Oryctolagus cuniculus: one gene and its partner. The main gene of each other region encodes a partner of the protein of the gene in region 2 in a complex. Links are inferred from orthologs where the notes say so. Each region holds a gene or a part of one and is shown on either strand. Other genes may lie near its edges.

Evidence for each region. The genes of interacting proteins can lie anywhere in the genome.
Region 1: the proteins of CLTC (region 2) and CLTB are in contact, whole or in part, in a cryo-EM structure (PDB 6SCT), measured with the Sus scrofa proteins. The link is inferred for Oryctolagus cuniculus from reciprocal best matches to the Homo sapiens genes CLTC and CLTB. Residues at the interface, in NP_001139599.1 of Sus scrofa: Gln1291, Arg1293, Gly1294, Phe1296, Lys1326, Phe1327, Gln1354, Ala1355, His1356, Pro1382, Thr1383, Glu1413, Phe1414, Lys1415, Pro1416, Leu1417, Gln1444, Pro1446, Leu1447, Thr1473, Glu1474, Glu1475, Glu1503, Leu1504, Ile1505, Arg1508, Leu1533, Lys1535, Met1538, Lys1562; in XP_005661527.2 of Sus scrofa: Pro100, Ser102, Trp106, Gln110, Leu114, Ser121, Thr124, Glu125, Trp128, Arg129, Ala132, Asp135, Leu136, Trp139, Val147, Asn150, Lys151, Asn154, Arg155, Asp158, Tyr162, Glu191, Trp192, Lys194, Val195, Leu198, Cys199, Asp200, Phe201, Cys209.

Annotation. Positions count from the first base shown.
Region 1 is NC_091437.1:62,417,894-62,421,634, forward strand, and holds the start of CLTB (clathrin light chain B), read right to left. Parts: upstream 2,607-3,741; 5' UTR 2,443-2,606; coding exon 2,265-2,442; intron 1-2,264. UniProt on the Homo sapiens protein: Clathrin is the major protein of the polyhedral coat of coated pits and vesicles.
Region 2 is NC_091448.1:34,910,002-34,913,742, forward strand, and holds the start of CLTC (clathrin heavy chain 1), read left to right. Parts: upstream 1-1,462; 5' UTR 1,463-1,934; coding exon 1,935-1,976; intron 1,977-3,741. UniProt on the Homo sapiens protein: Clathrin is the major protein of the polyhedral coat of coated pits and vesicles. Two different adapter protein complexes link the clathrin lattice either to the plasma membrane or to the trans-Golgi network.

The DNA of each region.
Region 1 (3,741 bases), on a different chromosome or scaffold from region 2:
GCTACAGATTCAGCCCCACCCGCCCCATCCCCAGCAGAGACTCAATTCAGGGCGCAGGCCCACCCCAGACACCTCTGTCCCCAGGGGCACTGGAAGCCCAACATCAGAGCACACAACAGTGGCACTGCTCAGACAGCGACCCCCTCATCTAAGAGAAGGCGGGGCAGAGGTGTTAAGTGGCAGCTGCTGAGGCTGGAGCCAGCTTCCGCTCAGCTCCGGGGAGGCCCAGACCCTCCCCTGCCCCATCCAGGCGCCCTGGCCTCATCTCAGGTCTGGGGAGGATTGTCTGTTCCGTGCTGCCTGCGCTTAGAGGGGCCAGATCAATTCTCCCCAGTGAAGCCGCCCGCTGAGCTGCCCACCACCGCCATCCCCATAGCCACCCAGGAAGGCAGCCTCAGTGGGTGAGCCTGCTTGCCCGAGGGCTGTGTCCCCAGCAGCTCCCTGTAAGTCCCTGGTTGTTTCTTTCCCTGTCACCTTGGATCTGGGGCCAGTCGGTACCCCAGGCCTGCAGGTCGGTGGAGCCCCACTGTTCTGGGAGAGGCTGCAACCTCCTCAACTCTCCCGTGCCTCTGGCTGCCCTGGGCCTGCATCCCACCTGCCCTTCTCTCTCTGACAACTGCTGGGCCCAGCAGGGCCTCTCAGGGCTGAGCCAGACTGGGGGAAAGGAATGGGCTCATCAGGGAGGAGGCTGGATAAATGAATGTTTGGCTCATGAACTTGAGGTGCTGGGAGTTGCTGCTTCCGAAGACCTCTGAGGCTGGCATGCTCAGGTAAGGAAACACCTGCCCATGGTATTTCCACATCTCTTGGTCTCCCAGGGAGGTTGCCACAGCATGGAGCCCAGAGGTAAGCAGCCCAGCTTTGGCAAGAGAGGCAGGCTCTCGAGATCTCCAGTGCCTCACGTGTTACAAAAGATTTGTTACATTTCTTACATGGAGGCCTAAGGGTTGCTTCTAATTCCTGGGTCACAGAAACTGCCTAGTTCTACATCCCCCAGGTTTGGGATGGTGGGGGCAGGACTGGCACACACTAGGTGTTCAGCAAACAGTCAAATAATCACACATATTACTGTAAAGAGCTTTGTAAACATTATATATGAGAATACTGCAGAAATTTCAAAGAAATGTTTATTTGGGTGCAAAAAAATGTGAAATGCATGCATATGAGGGGTCTTCAAAAAGTTGGTGGAAAATGCGTATTATGAAAATTCTATGGCTGGATTTCAGTTTTTTTTTTCTGCACCAAAAAACTCTTTTCTTTAAATTCCATTTTCCACCAACTTTTTGAAAGCCGCTGCATGTAGGGATCCATGTGAGCACTTATCCCAACAGCCCCACAAACTCCTGCAGAAAGACAGCTTTAGCAGAAGCAACGTATGTTTTGGATGTATTCACAAAGATGCCATCTACTTTCTTATTCAGTTTTTTGAGAAAAAAAAATTTCAAACTAAAATCAGAGCAAGAACACCAATGATAAATACTATACCCCAGGGTCCAGGCCCCAGAGCCAACCACAGCAGCTCTGGACTGCCAGTACTCATTCCTGAAGGGCAGGAAAAAGCTGAGGGGTGCCCCTGCCCCAACCCCAGGGGGTGCACATTGGGGACAGCAGGGTCGGCTGGAGAGGCTTTGGAGTGTGACAGAAACAGATTCAAATTCTTCATCTGCCACTTCTTAGTCATTTCAATAGCGCGCCTCCGTGTAGCTGGCTCGGAAATGGGCTCAGCAGTGCCTGCGAGATGATTCACCGGGACTGCCCTGTCCGCCCCCAGGGACTGTAGGGTGGCGGAGGAGGTTTGCGAGTTCCTGGAGTACTAGTGTCCCTGGCTTCCCCCGCTGTGGGCCAGAGCTATGCTGAAGGGCCAGGAGGTGGCTTGGTTCCGCCCACATCTGCACCACTCACCGGGGAGCCTGGGACGGCCAGGCCATTAGAAGGCTCGGGAGGAACTGGATTCCAGAGCCAGGCCTGGCGGCGAAGCTGGCCTGGGGGGTGAAATGTCATGCCGGATTCTGAGAGTCACCAGACCCGACCCACAGTCCCGGGAGAGCGCTCAGCTCCTGCCCCTCCCTGAGGTCTTGCGTGAGGACCTCCAGGGAAATGCCTGCCCACTTCCCGCAGGCCCGCTCCCTACCCACGCACGGCCCCCGGCCGGCCCCTGGCGGGCCTACCGCAGGCCCGCTTCACTGCACGGCAGGGGCCCTAGGCCAGGGGCCCCCGGGGGCCAGCCCCAAGCCCCCAGCTCCCGGGCCCTGGCGCTGACTCACCCCCGCTCGCGGGTCCCGGCGGCGCCGCGGCCACCTGGCCGGCGGCAGGTGCGGCAAAGCCTTCGTCGTTCTCGATGCCCGCGATCTCGCTCTCCTGCTGAGCCAGGAAGGCGGCCGCCGGGTCCTCCTCAGCCGCCCCGCTCTCGGACGGCGGGAAGAAGCCGAAGTCCTCAGCCATCTTCCCCGGTGCCTGCTGCAACCGTACCTGGCGCTGTCACCCGAGCCACCGCGGGACCGGCCTCGGCGCGGCGGCCCCGACTTCCTCTCTCCGCCACCGGGCCCGGCGCGCCTGTCACTGCGGCTGCAGGCGCCGCGGCGGGAGGAGCCGGGAGCGGGAATGTGGTGATGTCACCGGCCGAGGGAGGGGGCCCGGGACGGCCCGGAGGTCGCCTCGCGACGGCCACAGGAGGGCGGCAGCAGAACGGCGCCGGAGCGCCTGGGGGCCCGGCGGGCTGGCTCCTGGCTCCTCGGCCGGCCGCGAGCGCGTTTCGCTCTGGTGGGGTCGGTCGGCGGGGCGCACGGCGCAAAGTGGCCGCAGGGCGCGCTGGGCCGCGGCCGGCCTGCGCAGAGTTCGCTCAGGACTCGTTCGGCCAAAGCCCTCTAGCCTCGGCGGGGTCGGTGTTGGGAACCCTACCACCTGCGCCTGGAGGTTGGGAAGGAGGCTGGCAAAGCCTTCGCCGCGTCGCTCCCAGCACGGCCGTGTCGCTTTCGTGCTTTTGCCCTCCGTGTCTCTTCCTTGGAGGAGGCGCCCGCTCTTAGGACCAGCGCGGCCCCTTCGACGGCCTTTGGGTAAGAAGTGCTGGAGAAAGGCACACTTAATTTATCCAGGCAGGCTACTGGGCCACGCTCGGTAATCTGTCCCTGAATGTCACCTCTCTACCTCTGCTTTGCCAGGTACCAGGGCGATCCCAGGCTAGCCAGACGGACTCACGGCAAAGCAGGCAGACTTTTAAACACAAGACTTTGGGAGACCAGAGCAGCACCATGGAATTTCGGTTGTTTATCATCATCAACATCATCATCATTATCATCATCATTGTTATTAAATTGAAAACCACAGAGAGCGGGAAATCTCTCATCAGCTGGTTCACTCCCCAAATGCAACAGCAGGCAAGGGGCAGGCAGAAGCCAGGAGCAGGGGAACCCAATGCAGGTGGATGGCAAGGACCCAGCTACTTCAGCCATCACTTGCTTCCTTTCGGGTGCACACGGCGGGAAGTTGGAACCCCGGAAGAGCTAGGACCTGAATCCAGGCACTCCAATGTGGGATGGAGACATCTCAGGCAGCAGCTTAACCATGAGGCCAAGAGCCTACCTTATGGCAACGCAGTTAAACCGCTGGTTCTCGTACTGGCTGCCCCACATCCAATCCAGCTCCCTGGGAAGGTGGAGCCTAGGAAAGTGGGCTCCCTGCCCCTCATGTGGAAGTCAGGCTCCTGGCTTTCCTACCTGGCCCAGCCCTGGCAGCTGCAGCCAT
Region 2 (3,741 bases):
AGTACTGTAATAAAACAATAACTCCTTTAGAATTTTTTAGAATTTGTCTCTTTCCAAAAAGGGTTTGAAGCAGCTACAATGAGACTGCTATTCAAATGCTGCAGAATCAAGTATCTGGCTTAATACAAGAGGAAAATTTTCAAGCATAGGAAGCCCCTCTTACAACATGGTGGCAAAGGCTTATTCTTTGCAGAACGATTTCTGGCTGCCCTGTTACCTGCCAGATTCTAGCCTCAGCATGGGAGGCAGTATTTTGGGAAAAGCACGAAAGCAACTGAAATGATTAAGCACATTTCTCACTCTAGGCAAAAACTGCTTCACACACAAAAAATTCCGCACCCGATAGGGCTGTGTGTTCCTTAATCGAAAAGGGCACAACAAATAATTATCGTGGACTTGAGTATTTTTCTCAAGGTCTTTCTGAGGGGGGAAAAATCGCATCTCTTTAAAGATGGAAAGCACGGGACTAAACTCTTCTTTATTGTACTGGGGCTGAACTGTTGCAGCTTAGACTTCGGTTGTCAGTCGATAATGAATGCCGCAGATACCTTAAAGCTGTCAGAAGACACGGTGCTCGGGCTTCCAAGCGCTCCTGTCCCCCTCTGCTAACCTGCCAGGCAAGGGCGAGGCGATCGCTCCGAGAGACGCGGCTAACACTTAATCCTCGTCCTCCGGGGAGGACCTTCAGGTTTTACCGACCACTCGGGGCGGAATTAGCTAAATCTTTGAGACGAAGTATTTGCCGTGGCTACAATGTCCTGCTCCAGTTCTGCTCGAACCCTTCAGGGTTATGTATGAGAACGCAAATTCTCTAGCACCACATACACGGAGTAGTAAGCTAGGCCGATCCGAGTCCGCCAAAATGTCCGCAGAAGTGGCGAGAACAGGCGAGCCTGAGGCATCTCACACTCGGCCCTCACTGTCCTTGGGCCTAAGGAACACCTGACGCGAGCGCCGCTTCCAGTCAGGAGTGCGCGCCTCGGGGTCGCCCCCCGTCAGCAGGCAGCGCGCAAGGGCGGCGAGGGCTTCCGACGCGGCCTCTGCGCCCCCTCCCCGGGCGGGGAGCAGCCGCCCACCGCCTCAAGGCGGGCGGGGGAGGCGGGCTGCAGCCAGCTGCCGGCGAGCGCAGCGGCGGCGCCGTTTCGCCGAGTCACCGGGCGGGCGGGCGGCTGGTCCCGTGTGCCCACGCCACGTCCTCTCCGCCAGGGACGCGGTCCAAACAGGGGACGCAGGGGCAAAGAAACGGCAGCCGCCGCGCCTCAAGGTGGCCCAACGGGCACCTCACTCCCAGGAGACGCCGCATTCTCCTAGAACTTGCGCCCCATTCTGGCAGCGTCAGCCGACCCTTCCCTACCAGCATCACGTGCACCTGGAAGTACGTGGGTGGGACCCAAAGCGCCTACGGAAATGACGTAGGTCGCCCCGAGTCGCATGATGTGGCAAAATGCAAAAAAAAAAAAAAAGGAAGGGGGGGAGGGAAAAGCAGAAGCCTGGAGAAAGTGATGAGTCTAGAAAAGTAGTCCCTGCTGTTCCTCTATTTCCCCGGTGTCGCATCAGGAAGCGAGGCCCCCAGCGCACTGCGCCCCGAATCCCTGCGCCTGGCCGCGGCGCGGCGCTCCGTGGAGGGGTACATAAGGCGGAGGGGGGGTGAGGCGACGGGGCGGAGTTTTGTCGCCGGGATCCTTCCGCAGGGCTCAGCCGTTTCCGGAGTCTGCGCTGCGCCCGGTTCCGCCATTGCGGCTCTCCTGGCCCCTGGAGCCTCCGCCCCCGACCCGAGCTCTCTCGTCTGCCTGCCAGTTTCCTGCGTCCCCGGAGAGTATCCTGCCGAGCCCAGCCTCCCCCCTCCCCTTCTCCTCCTCTCCCTTCGGAGAGCCCGGGCAGCCACTGCCCCGAAGCCCCAGTGACAGGAGGAGACTCTACCCCCCGACAGCGCCATGGCCCAGATTCTTCCAATTCGTTTTCAGGAGCATCTCCAGGTGCGGCTAGATCTGGGCTGCTGCGGGCTGTGGTGACGGTGGTAGGAAGGAAGAAGCTACGGTCTGGGCCGGAGCAGGAAGGGAGGGGTGTCGGTGTTTGGCGTAGGTGGAGGAAGGGGCGCTATCTTGGAAAGCTTAAAGGGTTAAAGGATATGGGGCTTGGGTGGAAAGGACGAGAGTTGGGGTGTAAAGGCCGGCAAGCCAGGCCTGACTCTGAGGGCCTTTCTGTCTTGCTTCCTGGAAGGCAAGAACTGCGCGTGTTATCCCCCCTCCCCTTCCCGTTTTATTCAGTTCATTCATTTGGATAGGGGAGTGGGAGAGGGGAATTCTCCCGAGTTTCTTCCGGCCGGAGCAAGCATTCTCATCATCCCCTGGGCCAGTGCAGGGCTGTCACCCTCCACTGCCCATCTCTTCCCTTTCCCCCCATCGTGTCTGCACCCGGGAGTTGCGGGGCGGGTGAGTTGGGGAGGAGCAACCTTTTTTTCTTCCTCCCTCTGCGGCTCTCAACTGAGAAAGGCACCTTTCCGGGGGCGGGGGGTGGGGGTGGCGGCCGTGGCTTGTCCCTTGCCTTCCCCGAGGCAGTAGGAACAGAAGGTCACTGAAGGAATAGAATGGGGGGACGCAGTTTTCAGGGCGCGGTCAGTCTTAGAGTGCGTGGGGTCAAGGTCCCTGGGGAACTCGCTTGGTTTTCCTTTCTTGATTTCTTTGGGGGTGGTGTGGCTCTTAAATCCTTTTGAGTTCAGAACGTAGCAAAGTGTTACCTAGAGGTTATCTGGGGGGGGGGGGGTCCTCAGGAGTCCATCCGGTGGTTGTGAAATGTGTGGCTTGAGTGCCTCCGACAGGATCGCATGGAATGGAACAGAGGCCCGGGGTTAAGGACACACCTGCCCTGAGTTGGTCTGTAACTCGTTTCTTCTTGGTAGATTCTAGAGTTCTTCCGTAAGTGCCTTACCCTGGAGGCAACATTCTTACGGTTGTCTCTTTGGGCAGCTTGCCAATGGCTAGCCTAGGCAGGTGATCATTGAAGGGCTTCGCTGAATTAGGCCTCTTTTTGAGCTTCTGATGTCCCTGGTTCACCAATCCTGGATTCTCATCAGGAATAATAAATTAACTTGGTTTCTTCCCGTATGTCCCCTTAAAGAAGCCTGCCCCAGGGCCATCTACGGCAGGACTCACTTCCTAATCCGAGGATGCAGTGGTTTAAAATGAGACTGGTTCTGGTAACCTATGGGATACTTTTCCACGCAAGGAAGTTTTATGTACTTTCCCCCATTGGTGTAACAAAAGAAAGAGTCTTGTCAATAGAACAGTTAATATTCAGGCTACGAGTAAAATAATTACATATTTCTTTACAGGCATCACATTTGCTTGCACTAGCAAGACATTATTTTCCTTTAAGGTTTGAAATGTAAAGAATGCTAAATCTTTAACCCATTAAGTAAGTTAAGTAGTACAGCTTTGTTCAGTCACCCAAAACTCATGTAAAGTAATGGAATATACCTTGGCTATAAAAACAGTTTTATGAAAGGTTAACACATGTTAGGTGTGACAGAACGGGCTTGGAAAAAGTTATTTTTTGTGCTCCATCCAAGTTTAATTACTGTGATTACCTCTGTTAAAAAAGGGGTGGTAAATGAGTGTGGAGGATTAGGAAAGTACTGTTCTTGCATGAGAAGGGGAAACCCAGGCTCTTCCTCGCACTAAAGTACATCTGAAATATCTTTCTGCAGACAAATGTTTGTAATGATAACCCAAGAGAAGCTGG